2 linked regions of the Rhinolophus ferrumequinum genome follow. The protein of the gene in region 2 binds, or shares a complex with, the protein of the main gene of each other region. Links are inferred from orthologs where the notes say so. Each region holds a gene or a part of one and is shown on either strand. Other genes may lie near its edges.

Evidence for each region.
Region 1: the proteins of OPRM1 (region 2) and POMC are in contact, whole or in part, in a cryo-EM structure (PDB 8F7Q), measured with the Homo sapiens proteins. The link is inferred for Rhinolophus ferrumequinum from reciprocal best matches to the Homo sapiens genes OPRM1 and POMC. Residues at the interface, in NP_000905.3 of Homo sapiens: Ser66, Met67, Ala70, Ile71, Met74, Gln126, Asn129, Tyr130, Leu131, Met132, Gly133, Trp135, Val145, Ile146, Asp149, Tyr150, Met153, Arg213, Ile217, Asp218, Cys219, Thr220, Glu231, Lys235, Val238, Ile298, Val302, Lys305, Trp320, Ile324; in NP_000930.1 of Homo sapiens: Tyr237, Gly238, Gly239, Phe240, Met241, Thr242, Ser243, Glu244, Lys245, Thr248, Pro249, Leu250, Val251, Leu253.

Annotation. Positions count from the first base shown.
Region 1 is NC_046296.1:54,938,225-54,946,497, reverse strand, and holds the start of POMC (pro-opiomelanocortin), read right to left. Parts: upstream 3,321-8,273; 5' UTR 3,166-3,320; intron 1-3,165.
Region 2 is NC_046286.1:96,561,565-96,569,089, reverse strand, and holds the start of OPRM1 (mu-type opioid receptor), read right to left. Parts: upstream 3,179-7,525; 5' UTR 2,729-3,178; coding exon 2,436-2,728; intron 1-2,435. UniProt on the Homo sapiens protein: Receptor for endogenous opioids such as beta-endorphin and endomorphin. Receptor for natural and synthetic opioids including morphine, heroin, DAMGO, fentanyl, etorphine, buprenorphin and methadone.

The DNA.
Region 1 (8,273 bases), on a different chromosome or scaffold from region 2:
AGGACAGGAGCAGTTCAAGAAGCTTGGTGTGCAGGGTGGTGGGACAAATTGTGGTAGAGAGGAGGGAAGTGGGACCTGGGCAAAGCGTGTGCAAGTTCTCCTTTATCTCCTGTTAAAATCAGACCCTAAAGGAGGTTAGGGCTGGAAGCTCTTTTGGAGGTCATTTGGTCCAGCCTCTATTTGAGAGATGGGGAAGCTGAGGCCCAGAGAGAGAGAATAACTTGGGTATTCATGACAAGGTTAAGGCTAAGTTCTCCTGTTTCCAACACAGAACTTTCCTACGTCACCACCTTCATGAAGCTATAATTCTGACACTCCAGATCCAAAGAGAAACTTGGGAAAGACAGGACCCTGAAACTCCTGCTCAAGATGGTCTTTTCCCCTCCTCCGCACCACGATCCTACCACTCCTCAGAAACTATTTCCTATGAATAGTTGGTTTACATAGAAGCAAATAAAACCTCTGGCCAATTTAGCCAAAACCTTAGCCAACCCATTTTGATGCCCTGTACACAAGTCACTCAGGTGGTCACTATTCCCAGAGCACTGCATCTTTGGAGAGACTTATTTTTAAAGCAGACCCCCATTCTTTGAAAACTGACTCATCTTCTGAACACATTAGATGTCAGATCACTTGTTCTCTAAGTTTCTCTGAGTTTCTCTGAAATAGTTGGATTAAAGATGCTGTCAGTGTAGAAGGGAAGGAGATGGACACACATAGCAGAAGGGAATGACCTCCCACGTCAGGAAGAACCTCTGGGCAGATATTGAGTTCAAAAGGTCAGGATGCAGTAAAGAGGGGAGCACCAAGGCTTCCTGATGCTGCCTTTTGTCCCCCATGCCCAACCCTTTCACCAGCCCTCTAGGTTTCATGCTGCCATGTACCCCTTCACCCAGGCCAGCCCCCTGGAGTGACCCCAAATTCTCACCACCAACCCCACAATCATTTTGGATTTCAGAAGATCTTCTCAACCCAGCTGTTAGAAAGAAACCTAATTAGATGAGAAAAGTAATTCACATTAAGGTGAGGATAACTAATTGTTTGTCTCTCCTAATGCACATTTGCATTTTAAAATAAGTTTGCCTGAAAGAAATCTCTCATTAGTGGAGGCGTGGGCAAAATTTATTTTATAGGGAAAGCTTTGGAAGTGAAAGTTCTCTCTGGCTTTCATTGTCTACTTCAGGAAGCCACTTCCTTCTCTCTGCCCCACCCCCACTCCTTTCCCCAAAAGCTGAGCCAGCTCAGGGCTCCCTTCTGAATGGCGGCCAGGAACCACCTGAGTGTTTTCAGAGCAGCCATTAGATGGCGTTGGCAGCCAGTGAGCTGGCCCTTCAGCATATCAGGCTGAAGGGGCAACTGGGAGAGCATTGGTCCACCTTGATGGCCAGTCCTGACCAGGGACAAGATGCTACTGTTGTAGCCTTTTAATTCTCCAGTTCAAGTATGAAGCCTGAACTTGCTGGACAAGGCAATTTATACTAAAGCCCTGAGACCACACAGTACATTTGGGTCAGAAAAATGCCCAGATTTACAAGAGAAACAGGAAAACGGTAGTTATATATCACTGTGGGCAAGGGTAAAAGAACACATCGGTAGAGAAAGAAGTAAAATCATACAGGTCTGATAGTCCCTCAACTGTATTTCAAGTCTCCTCAAAATTGTCGTTCTGAAATGATTTCCACTTTCTAAAAACCTACCTCATGATTTAAAGCCTCCCTGAAAAGCCCCTTGAGAGCATTTCCTTACCTTTTGCCCCACTAGCTATGTTGTACACGTGGTAATTTTATCACTCCCCATCCTCTCAGAGCTCCATTCTACTGCTAAAAAGATTGTTTCCTGAAAGCAACATGTTTTCTTTTTGCTTGTATGTAGTCTCTATTTTTCTACACTGAATAAATATTGCCTTATGCCATTTTTAAAAAGCAATATAGTAATGGGGAGATGTCAAATATTGTACTTTTTGTAAGTAGGGAGAGGGTTATAATCCAATCATTGAAAGCCTTGGAAAACTAAATAGAAATCTGTACTTTGTTAATTTTGGCATTAGCTTTATGATAGAACTACACTTGTTAGAACTTCATATGTGTAGGTGAATTCTCTGTGAGCTAAACAAAATATTTTGTGTGCTACTGTAAAATTGCACAGTGGCAATGCCCTTCTGTAAAGATTAGAAGAGCAGGGGTGCAGAATTTTGTCCTTGCAGCATGATACACATGCATGGAGTCCTAAAACAAAAGTGTGGAAGGATTAAGTCATTAAATAAGCCATAAACTGGACATATCTTAACAACTGACAAAACAAATGCACACTTTTACTTTCCTCGACTCCTTCCAGTCATTCTGTGAGAACCACCACCTCCCCCATTTATACGCGAAGAATTTGGGGGATCCAAATGCCTTGAAGACTCCCTCTCCTTCGCTGGAAACCCCCCTTGACTGAGCCTCCGCCACTTCAAATGGCTGCTTCCACCCTGCAATCTAGGGTCTGCGGGATAGAAAGAAGGTCCACTCTGCGGTCCTATTGAGGGGACAGGCAGGGTGGTTCAGGACCTCGGATAGTTCCCGCCCGGGCCACCTCTTTTAACCCCAGCTGGATCCCCTAGAGGAGACCCGAATCATCGTAGCGCAGGCACGTCGGGTGCGCTAAAGTGAGCAGAAAAAAGAGGATTTGGGAGTCTGAATAAAAAAAAATAAAAAAATAAAAAATGTCTAGGATGCAAGGAGCTGATTGTGGCTTTTAGCCCTTTCTCTCCTGCTCCCATTTCCAACGTTAATTTGCGCTAGAGTATATGGTATCTTTTAAGTGACACCTACCCAGAAAATCGGGAGGAAGAGGAGCCAAGAGCCCGGGCTCTCCTGAGATCTCCCCAGAACGGGGTAGGACTCTCAGGGGTCCACTCCCCGGGGGGAAAACGCGGCCGCCAGCTCCTGAAAGACACCGCTCAGCGTCGCAGCCGTTTCACCCACCGTCCGGAGCTGGCCCTCGCGGCTCTGCTGCCGGTGACTTCCCACACCACATTCAGTGCAGAAAGTTTTCAAAGGACTCCGGACTGCGCCGAGCCAAAGGCGCCTCAGGTTGGCGACTGGAGCCGGGCGACAGCTTCCCGCGTTCCCGGGGCAGGGTGTCCCGGGGTAAAAGCGAGGTTCCGCGCCGCTGCACCCTTACCTGTCGTGGGGAGGCTGCTGTCTGGGCGACTCCCGCTGCCCGGAAGGGAGGATGCTCGGCGGCTTCTGTCCGTCCTTCACTTTTCTTCCCTTCTTTCTCCTGTTTCGCCGCCGCCTGGTCCCGGTCGCTGTCCTAGGTCCTTATATACGTCGCCAGAGTGGGCGCTGGACGTGAACTTCCCGGGCAGCGTGACAAGCAATTCCCCCGTCCATAGGAAGGGGGGCCATGGAGCGCAGGAGGGGGGGTTTCCAGGTAGGGGCTGAGCGCAAGGACAGACGTGCCCGGAAAGGGGGCTGGATCTCTGCCCTCCGAGGCTGGAATTAACACTGTCCCGCAGAAAGGCACAGCTGGCAGCCCTCAGGAAACAACTTAATTAAGGACGGTGTCAGGTCTCCAGCTGAGACAACCAGGCGGCTTAGCACTCCGGTGTAGGGTGGGCCTGGTGCGCCCTCTGAGGTCGTTGAGTAGAGGGTAAAATTACTTGTGTGCGTGTTTGGGCTGGCATTGACCTCGTTTGCATTTGCAGGTAAATATCACCGCAAAGGGAGGACTTCCGTAATACCTCAGATTTCCCCAAAGTTTGGTAACTGGTGTGAAGATGTCACCATGAATCACAATCCCTCTGTTTCGGGTAGGGGCCCGGAGAGGGGGTGGAAGGCAGGGGCCTGGGGCAGAGAAGGTCAGGAGTCACACACCTGAGACCCAAGACAGATTGCCTTCTTGGGGTGTGAAGGTGAGTGGCACTGCCCCCACCCCCACATACTCCCCAAGGAACTAGCCCAGGTAGGTTCTCTCCTGTGCCACAAACCCCAAGAGAATGCTATTAACTTTAGACTATTAATGGGGGGGTGGGGAGGAGTGCTCTGTGAAGAGTAGCTGAAGTACTTTCTTTGTGATATCTGAGCCCTTCCCATGGCCATGAACTGGCAGAGTGGTCTCAATCTTCTCCAAGACTGGCCTTGGAGGTCTGGGTTGGCTCCAATCCCAAATGTCAGGCCAGGGAGGAGAAGACAGCACTCAAACCTGCAAGTGGAAGATACTCTTCCTTAACTGGAGTAAAAAAGCAAAATCAGGGGTGGCGGGATAGCTCAGTTGGTTAGAGTGTGGTGCTAATAACACCAAGGTTGCTGGTTAGATCCCCGCATGAGCCACTGTGAGCTGCGTCCTCCTTTAAAAAAAAAAAAAAAAAAAAAAGCAAAAGTAAATTGTGAGGAGTTACAGGGGTGGAAGTACTGAAAATCACCTGTACTTCAAATCAAGGTGCTTGATTTGAATTCAAGGTGCTTGATTTCAAATCAAGGAACTATCGTTATTCACAACCAGATGCCCTTTTGGACTCCAACCCTTCCTTGAGAATGTCTGATTAGTGACATTTGCCTTGTGTTCAGCAATCCTTTCCTTTTGGGCCATGGGAAAGATCCAAGCTCCTCACCAGTAAACGAGGCGGTTTACCCCTTGGTCTTGGCTTCTTTCCCAGGCCATCGTCCACCTCTCCATCCTGCATCCTGGCACTTGCACCACCCACAACATTCCCTTTCCCATGAACACAATTTTCTCAAGCCTCCATCTCTTTGTCCATGCTATCCCCCCAACTAAAACACCCTTCCTCTCTCCATCCACCCAGGAAAATTGAAGTCTTGCATTAAGATCCAGCTCATCCATCATCACCTATTCTCTGAAGCCCTCCTTGGCCACTTGTCCTACTTGTGACGTAAAACATGGCTTTCTCTCTTCTCCAGAGAACTGCATTCCCATCTCATCTGTACACGTAGTCTTCATTGCTGGGGAAAATTTCCACTCAGTCTTCCCTCTTCTACAGTCCTACCCCCACTACCTCCAGGCTTGTGAGCCTCTAAATCATATTGTGATTTTATCTTATTTTCCTTTGTATTATTTTTATAACTTCAAGAGGCAGCTGGCAGTAGCAGAAAAGCCAGACCAGAATAAGTTCAGATTGACCCAGCTTCTGTCTTCCTTTGTCAGCTGAGTTCTTAATTACATGCAACAGAATGGAAAGGCCATTGAAACACATTTAGAATCACTGGGCAGGCTGGGGAACCAAGATTTCAAAATGGGCAGGGACAAAAGGTGGCTGGAATCATGGCCAAAATCTGGCTGCTGATTGGATCCTATGAGAAAGAAAACCAGATTACTACTGGGAACAGGAGGCCACAAGTGGTACTGTCAACACCATGGGCATTGGACAGAGATGTCACTTCCATCCTCAGAATAAAAAGAACAGGAAGGTTGCTGTTCCCACCTCAGCTGATGTCACCAGAAAGCAATGAGCGCTGCCCTCACTTCCTTGTGTCACTAGGTCCTCTTTGAAAGCCTAATCGTCTGAGACGATAATATGATTTTCCCCTTTTTTCTGATCTTGTGATCAATTACACTGTCGATTTTTAGTTTACACCTACCACACATTCCTGGATTGAGCCCTATTTCATTATGACGTGTTATCTTTATATAGCACTGGGTTCAAATTGCTAATATTTTATTTAAGATGTTCACATCCATGTTTATGAGATTGGCCTGTAATTTTCCTTTTTTGTAGAATTCTTCTCAGATTTTGGTATTAAAGTTATACTGTCTTTATAAAATAAGTTGGAAATCCCCACCCCATTTTTTTTATAGTTCAGCAGAAGAATTTGTGTACAATAGTGTTGATCTCTTCCTCAAATGTTTGGGATGATCCATCAGTGATGCCATCTAGGTCTTTAAGATTGTTTGTTTATTGAACTGTTTTAAATTTCAGATTCAATTACTTAAATAGCCCTATTCAATTGTCTGCTTCTTCTTGTGTCAGTTTTATTTTAATAAGATACATATTTCTAGGAATTTGTCCACTTCATCTAAATCTTTAAATTTATTGACTTAAAATTTTTTATTTTGTCTTCTTTTTAACATCAGTGAAATCTGGAGTTGTGGTCCCCTCTTATCTCTGATATTGGTAATTTATGTCCTCTCTCTTTTTTCTTGATTAGTTTTCTTAGGAGTTTATCAATTTTATTAGTGTTTTTAAAGAATCAATTTTGTTTTGTTGATTTTCTCTATTGCATGACACTTTTTTCTATTTCTGAAATTTCAACTGTTGTTATTTCTTGCCTTCTAATTTCTCACTAGTTCTTCTTTTTCTACCTCCCAAGTTGGACACTAAATAAATGCTTTTGCTTAGATAACTGATATTTAACCTTTATTCTTTTAGACATATGTAAGTTGCTTTCTAAGTATGGCTTTAGTTGTATCCCACAAGTTTTGATATGTCATATTTTTATTACCATTTAGTTTAACATATCTTCTTGTTTTCATTGAGATGTCTTGATTGACCTAGGGGTTATTGAGACTGTTCTGTTTAACTTCCAAACATTGGCGGTTGTCTAGTTATGTTTTGAAACTAATTTTTGGCCTAATTTTCCTGTGGTCAGAGAATCTGCTCTATTTGATTTCAGTCCTTTGTGTGTGTGGCAGGAGGGGGTGGGAGGGGAAGCTGCTTAATGGATGAGCATGTGGTCCATTTTGATTAATGTTTGATTCATGTTCACTTCAAAAGAATATGTATTCTATGGTTGCTCAAATATTCTATATCCTTTCTATACCTGTATCCTTCCTGATTATTTGCCATCTTATTCCATTAGTTACTAATTAAAGTATGTTTTTAAAATCTCCCCATTATTTTTGTGGATTTACTACTTTACCCTTTGGTCCTGGCATAAAAACAACTCTTTCTGGAAATCTAATGGTGGATTGGGGCAGTGGGGGAGAGTAACATAGGGTCAGACAGGTACTAGAGCATGGCTGCACGCTAACGGGAATGATTGAGCAGAGAGGGGGAAATTGATGTTGCAGATAAGAGTGGGGGGAAAAAACCAAGTAATCCAAGCTTTAAATAAGCGAGATGGGATCCAGAGGAAGAACCTGGCCTACAAACAGTGGAGGGCCTTCCTCGTCTGTAACAGGGATGGAGGGTCGGGGAAGATGCAGACACAGGTGAACTTACAGGATAACCCGTGGGAGGGCGATGGACTCCTGCCTGTACCAAAGTCTTTACCTTTTAACCCAGCATTTCCTGGGAATTATCCAGGGGACATTACCACACTAAATGCTGTTCAAGACTACTCATTCAATATTGTTTATAGTAGCGATAAAGTGAAATTAAACTAAATACCTATAGTAGGGTATAATTATAAAAAATTATGGTAAAGCCATACAAGGAACTACTCCACAGCCATTCAAAATAATAACGTCAATATTTACTTCTAGACATAATAAAATTATGGCTACATGTGGTTAAGTGAAGTATGATAAGATATAGATATAAATATAGCTAGCAATGGAGATACAAATAGAGATAAAGATGAAAAGGTATCAAAGTGTGATAACAGTTGTTTTGGTTATCCAATGCTATATCACAGACCACCTCCCAAACTTAATGGGTTGAAAGAACAATATTCATTTTGAGCATGAATCTGCAGTTCCGGGGTTTTTGAGCAGAATCTGGAGTCTGGCAAAGCCAGCCTGTCTCTGCCTCACTCGGCATCAGCTTGGGCAGCTCAAAGGCTGAGGTGATAATTACCTGAAGCCATTCACTCACATGACTGGTTCCTGGACTGAGAAGACTTAAACAGCTGGGCCTCCTCAGACACCTGTCTGTATCTCTGTGCAGCCTTGCCATGTGCTCTCTTCAGCATGGCAGTTTTAGAGGAACAGACTTCTGCCACCTAGGCTCAGGCCTCCCAACACGCATCTGGACGCGATTTGCCCTGCGTGTCAAGGGGATGAGTGGTCAGCAAGCACTCCCCAGAGAAGGGGGTGCTGAGTTGGGCTGAGCGGTGATACAATAGGTCACCAGGATGAAGACAGGAAAGGCACTCCAGGCGGAGGGAACAGCATGCGGTATAATAGGAGAAACTCTGTTATATTCTTGGAATGCTGGGTGCACGTGGTGAAGGGAAAGAGGGAAAAGGCTGGAAACAGTCAGAGGCAAGAGGGGAAGAGGTAGGGGACCCTTGAGGGATTGAGTTGGAGTAGCGGTAAGGAGGCTGATCAGAGGACCACGGGGCCTGGATAGCGGGGAATGATGGGAAGCCCGGCGCTCTGCCACGGACCCG
Region 2 (7,525 bases):
GACGATAATATCCCTGAACCCATCATTTTGTAGTGAAAACACCACAACCTGGAGACAGTCCAGTTAAATATTCTCAGCTACATAAACTTTCTTCAATCCCCAGATACTCTCCTCATCAGTCCATCCGTCACTGAACTGTCTATTTTTCTGTTTCATATTCATGTTCCCAGTGGGTCATCTGACCTTGGATTAAACACCTGACTTGCCACAGGTTGATGTTTGGGTGTCCTTTCAAATCATAGTGGCATTTTGGTAGAACTTTCAGTACAGAGAAGTAAAGCATAATATCATGTTCTCAGTAAGATAAAATGTCACCATCCTTTTCCAAGTCATCAAGAGGTTAGAGGTAATGCCTTTAAAACAAACTCACCTAACCAGCAATCTCTTAAACCTGGAATAAGACCAATTTGCTTAATCGACAGCCAGTTGCTGCTCTATTGACTCTCCCTTTATAGAAAAGCATAAACTAGAGGGGAGAAAAATGATGAAGGAAAATACCAAGAGAAGCAATAAAAGGGAAGAAAATATTATGTTTCATATGGCAGGATTTCTAGATACTTTGGCAGTTTAGATTCATCCATTATTCTCCAGGATTCCAGACATAAATTGGGAAAATTTATCATTTCTACATTATTACTGTTACCTAAACCTACTCTGTCAATCTTTTTGTCTAATTAACTCAAATCAAGATTTGCCACTCTAATAAACAGAAAATTATATTGGCTAAGAGAAATTCAGTGGTATTGAACTAATTAAATATCTATCCTTGAAGAAATCATTTATGTTTTCTGTGCCTCAGTTTACTCACTTAGCATAGATAATCTTTAGAGTCACTTCTGGTCCTATAAGCTTATGATTTCATGAATTTTCTTAGGAAAAATGAGAAACATATTTTCCCTTCATAATGCAGGCCTTAAATTATGATTTTTATTATAATAATTGCAAAATGAGATTTAGGTTTTATCTTTGATATGAATCTTTGTATTGGATTACATAAAGTAAATGTTTATAAAAATAAAGTCTTCCATTGATTCTCTTCCTGCATTATCTTCTGTTGTTAGCCTTCTTCTCAATAGATGGTGCTGTTTTCTCAGAGACGTTACTTATCTTATTCCTCATCAAAAGATCAGAGAAATTAGTATTATTCTGTAGTAATCATTAATTAAAGAAATCAGACATATAAGTAGAAAATCAATTACAAGCAACTCAGAAACATAATGGGGAAAATGGATTGTTGAATGGTTAAAGAGCTCCATTGAAACCTGCCCTATTTGCAGAATAGATGAAGCAAATATTGTAACTCACCATGAAAATTCCATGTTCACTACATACATAGAACACACAGATCCCCCAATAGGAAGAAAATCCTAAATAAAGTGTTAAAATCATTATTTTCTTTAACAAACGTAAATATGTATTATTCCATGTTAAAATGTAGGATTTGAACGTGCATAATACTAACACAATCTATAACAATCTCAATTGATATCGAGCGTTTGCATACTCTTTGCCAAGTAAACCCAGAGCATCTGGGAAACAGAAAATCGGCCACAAACTCTTTTGAAATCATTACCCTGGATAAAGACATTTTTTTATTTTTTAAGAGCAACCATTACAACTTCCTATATAATAGTTTATAATGCAGAATTGTGCTGCTTTTGGTCACTTCTAGCTGGTTCCTCCTTTTGGAGGCATTGAAACACAGTTACATCCTGCACTTTTGAACCACCCTACCTATTCCCGAGTCAGATCTCCTTAGCACATCTCCCTAGCAGCTGCTAACTAAAAAAACTAGTCTAGGCAACACAACTGTCATATTTGGTACAACAAAGCAACACTGTGGCGAGACACCAGGAAAACTTCCTCTATGAGTGTGGCCTTAGGACTGGGAGGTGGAGTGGGGTAAGGACTACATGACAAGGGAAGGGGACGGTGGGGATATGGTACAGCAAAGAAACTAGCAGGAGTTGGAATGTTGCCCAGGTTCAACTCTGAAAAGAACTGAGAAGGAGACCTGGCCCCCAATGAGAGAAAATAAACTAGAATTCCTCTTGCATTAGTCACAAATTACTGTTTCCACAACTTCTGCCTAAAGGACTGTGGGATTCTGCCCCAGAGCCCTCTTGAAGCCAGCTCTAAGATAGAGCACTTTTTTTTTTTTTTTTTTGGTGGGAGCTTTATAGCTCTCACCAAAGCAACTTTTCTGTTCCTGAAATTTGGGGTTCTTCTTTATCACTGGGGGGTGGGGGTGGAATGGAAAAGTAGGTTTTTGCACTCAAACAATAACCACTCTGTATTCATTGTCACTTCACATTCTCCCTTTTACCTCTCTTCTCTCATCCTCCCTCCCAACACTCTGCCTGGGGGCTCGGGTGTCCCTTTATGCCCCTAGTAGTCCCTGAAATCACCGCTCGGAGTTCTGGCGCCTTTCTTACCTGACAATCACATACATGACCAGGAAGTTTCCGAAGAGACCCACCACGCACACGATGGAGTAGAGGGCCATGATGGTGATGGCCGTGATCATAGAAGGACTGCTGGTCGGAGGGCACAAGCTGTCGCTCCCGCCCAGCTCGGTGCGGTTCGGACCGCACGGGTCGGACAGGTTGCCATCTAAGTGGGAGAAGTTGACCCAGGAACCGGGGCTAGGTGCTGGGGAGCAACTTGAAGAGCGCGTGAAGGGATCAGTGCAGTTACTGGCGTTCCCGGGGACGGCGCCGCTGTCCATGGTGCTGGCGGCCGGCTGGGACCACGTTGTGAGGTAACCGCGAGCACCCGGACTTTTCAGGTTCCACACGCCTCAGCCGCTTCTTTCGCCGCTGCCACAGCTCCTGCTATTTCTTACACAGACCAACCCTGGCGGAGCTAGAGAGGAACGTCAGGCAGAAGGGGGAGAACTGAATATCTGTCATCCTCTTCTTGTAGCCCCCCTCCCACCTTAATAGTACAGAGACACATCCCCAACACAGCACCGCTGGGGGAGGGGACAGAGGGCTGTGCGGGATCCAGAGGCTGGAGGGGAGGGAGGAGAGAGAAGGGGTGGATTTTGCGCAAAGCAGTCCAAGGAGTTGTTCTCCCCACTTGGCCCTCGTCTGTGCAAACACCTCTAAGGAGGGGCAGAATGGGGAAGAGAGTTGGAAGGAAGGGGTGGGGAGTGAGACAGACAGTTTTTGGCAGCAGTAAAGCATAAGAAAGGGTGGGGGCTGTCATCACTGTTTTCCCAGCGCCGTTTTCTCTGTATGATACGACAGGAAAGACATTGGTCTCTTGCAACCCAAGCAACCCTTACACCCCAACTCCCTACTGTCTATCGCAATCATTTAGGGCAGGGAACACACATTCCTCTTCTTTAGTCCTCCGTGCCTCAGTCCCACACATACTTGAAAATGTAGCTGTGTTTTTCATATTGCTAAATGAGAATTTCAAACATGCCTGAAACAAGAGTGAGCATTTCTCTGAAAAACAAATGGGTAACATCAACTTTTGTGGAGAAAACCTATCCCCCTTATTGTATATTTCCCTGTTTTCTCCTAGAGTAGAAGATCCTGTTGCATCTGATTTCTTTCCGGGTGGGAAGAGGTACAAGAATGGGTTACAGAAATCATTGAATTCCAGGAAAGTTAACAAAAGATAATGGTTAACCTCCACATCTTAAATCCCATAGATCCACTGGAATTATTAATTATCCATTTTATCTCCAGACTTCCTACATGGATGTGTGCTTCTCAGTAGAACATTGTTAAAACCAAACACCATTTGCTTTCATTCAGTCTGTTTTCTAGTGTTTTGATTCCAGGAGGAATCTCATAGACAACTGGAACTGGAGTGGCCCACATAAGGTTGAGGAATATTGATACATTTTTAAGTGTCATATCTCACTTCGAAGTCCACAAATACTTCTGTTTTAGAAATAAATTGGTAAATCAACCAAGGGTAAGCTTTTTTTCCTTGTAAAATTAACACTAATTTTGAAGTCATTCTCATTTTTACACATCTGTGTGTTTGTGTGTGTGTGTGTGTATATATATATATATATATATATATATATATATATATATATATTTTTTTTTTTTTTTTTTTTTTTTTTAACAATACACATTGGCACCAAATGCCGTCATTGGTTGTAGAAAGTTATACTTCTGGGGAGCAGGAAGTGGAGTGGATGAGGGAACTCGGAAGGAAGATGTAATTCTAATGTTATTTTTATCATTTCTTGTTTTGCCAGTATTCAGTATTTATTTTTATCCTTTTACATTATAGGCTATACTCTCAGCAATAAAATGTCACAAAGATCTCCTAGAGACTAATAAAAATACCTGACCACATTTTGTCCTATAAACTAATATATCAATTCACTCACACTGAGCTGAAATTTGTCTGCCATTATTCTGTCTCTAGAAGACACATACAACCAGCCTAAGCTGACTTCATGTGAACAACAAATAGGTACAATGTCATAAGCCCTGGCCTTGAAGTAAAATCATTTGGTGAATCTTAGATTTGTAACTTTTTAGCTGTATGAGTTTGGATATGTTACTTCACCTTATTGAGTGACAGTTTTTTTTATCAGTTAAAAAAAAAAGGTAACAATACCTCATATGTCTGTTAGTAGGATTAAATGAGACACAGAATGCCACAGTAGTTGTTTAATAAATGATAACTGTTATTATTACTTCATATGTTTGTAATAACTTAGTAATCTCTTCTACAAGTTAAACATTAGCTCCCTTCAGCTGTTTCTAAGATGTAGTATTGGGTTCTTTTAGTAGCCTTGCCTCTTTTCTATTCACATTATAGTTTGTTCATCTGCTCTTAATGTACAGTTCGAGTTAAAAGCAGTGCCCCAAGTTTGGCCTAACCAAAGAAAAGTGAGGAAGAGTCTAAACCTCCTCTTTTTGAACACACTGCTTTCTTGACCCTCCTTAGGTTTAGTATTGACAAAATTTTCTAAACACAATCCAGGTCAGTTCAACAAATACTTATTAAATATCTACTTTGGATCAGGTGCTGGAGTTAAGAAAAGATAGAGACAACAGTTTTCGAATGCAGGAGCTTACTTCTTATACTTGATGAGTCATGTTTTCCTCTCCTATAAATTTATAGTTGTTTCAGAGGTATCTGAGTACAACAGTATAGGATTTTTATTTTCAAATTACATCTTTAGATGCAGTTCATGATTCAAATCTAATAAGATCTTTTGGAAGTGTGATTCTGTCATCTTTTACATGCATGCTTCCTACTTGATATATTTTATTTACCTTCCCTGCTTTGTCTACTCTAGAATAAGTTTCCTGAGGGCAGGCCCATTCACTACTTAATGCATAGTGGACTCCCTTCCTCTCGCTCTATATATATATGTACATACATAATATTTTAATTTAATTGAAAATAATTAGCATATTTTTTTCATAAGAGCTATGGACTAAATATTTATGTCCCCACAGAATATATATGTTGAAATCCTAATTCCTAATGTGATGGCATTAGGAGATGAAGGGTCTTTGGTAGGTAATTAGGTTATGAGGATGGAGCCTTCATGAATGAGATTATTGCCCTTATCAAAGAGATCCCAGAAAAATTTCTCTCTCTTTTTCCACCATGTGAGGGCACAATGAGAAGACAGCAACCCAGAAGAGGGCACTTACCAGAACCCGACCTTGCTGGCTCCCTGATCTTGGACTTTCAGCCCCCAGAACTGTGAGAAATAAATTTCTGTTGTTAATAAGACAGTTAGTTTATGGTATTTTGTTATAGCAGCCCAAACTGAAGAAGACAATAACATTACCTAAAATAATCTTTTTGATTTTTAAATGGCACAGCTTAAAAACAAAACATTTTATGAATGTTTCAATAATAACGTTTTGTACTTTTTAGCTCAGTATATTGTATTAATCAGCCAGGATGTAACTGTGTAGACATATTGACTAACCATATGACTTTTCTTCTAGAATTAGTCAAAGAGCAATTATGTGTTGTTCATTATATTCTACAAAAAATATAATCATTGTATGGAGTAGGAATTTGAACTTTGTGCTTCAACTATTTATTTTTAATGGAAATTTGATGTTTTCTTTTTGTATTACCCTTTCTCAAGTTTCCTTAAGGACAACTATTATATATATTTTGAATGCAGGATTTTCTGGATATCATTGCAGAATCCTCTTAAAGTACATTACCATCTCAGTATCTCACATCTATTCAATATACAACTGGGCAAAATACAGAAAAAAATTAAATTTCTCTTTCAAATATGTTGCGATAGCCTTGAGAAAGCTAGGGAAGAGCTGTTATAGAAAGAACCACTAAAAACCACTTAATATATAGTGTAAAAGAACCTCAAATTCCAGCTTCCATTATATCTTAGTTGCCCTATCGTGAGTTTTCCCTTTTCTCCAACATTACACATTTCCTATCAGAGTGATCTCAACTCTGCTATGAAATCTCATGTCTCTTGTTAAAGGAAATGAACTATAAGTACAAGAGTTAACTTATTACAAACCTAATTATTTTATATAACATGTATTCTAACCATATAAAGTTTAATTTCTATTATATTTTATCTGTGTAATAGAAATGTCTGCCTTTTTGTTGATATTTCTTGCTTAGCATAGATTTTCTTTTGAAGAAAGAAAAAATTATCAGTCAAAATTTAACATTGACATCAAAACCATATCATACATTTTTTTCCCCATAAAAATATTTGCTTCAAAACAATGCATTTACTAATAGCTAGGATGGATCTAGGCAAGTGGTAAAAGTCATTCCTTCTCCTTGAATTTCAAAGTATATTAGCTTTAGTTATTCATATAATTGCCGTCATCCCACACTTATTTTAATAGCTTAGTCCTGCTTTTTTGAGACTGGATGTTAATGGAACACATGATTAACATCTATTAATGTGAAATACAGACATAAATACTACCCGTGACACTATTAGAGTGGCTTCAAGCTCAGGAGAGAAAGGGACATCCAAAGTGTGTGTGTGTGTGTGTGTGTGTGTATAATGGGAATGTAAATGTATTGCAATATTTTCCTTGATCACTGTGTTGTTGCATAAACATCCAGAGAAGTGGAGAACAGGTGCTCTTATTTATATGATAAAAATAAAACGAAAAAGAAAAACTTTACAACTACCTCAATCTGATAAACCTAAGAGAGATATCTAGGACAGAGTGGGCAAAGGCCCTGTACTTTAAATAAAAAAGCAAATCAAAATCCAGGCTCTGCTATTTACTTCCTTGAGACTTAACTAAATGATTCATACTTCCTGATACTTGGTTTCTTCTTCTGTAAAATAAAAATATGAGAATCAACTTCAAAGAAGTTTTGCAGGACTACTTTGTATATGAAAGAACTTCTGCTTTACCTTTGGCTTTTTATATCTTATTGTGTGTGTGGCCTGGAGGTTAGCAAGAAGAATTATTGGAAGAATTACAGTATGTTTAATACAATAGAATTGGCATAGAATAGCAGAAAGAGCTTGATTCCTTTAAGGGCCTGAAGGTAATAACTGTGAATCAAACTC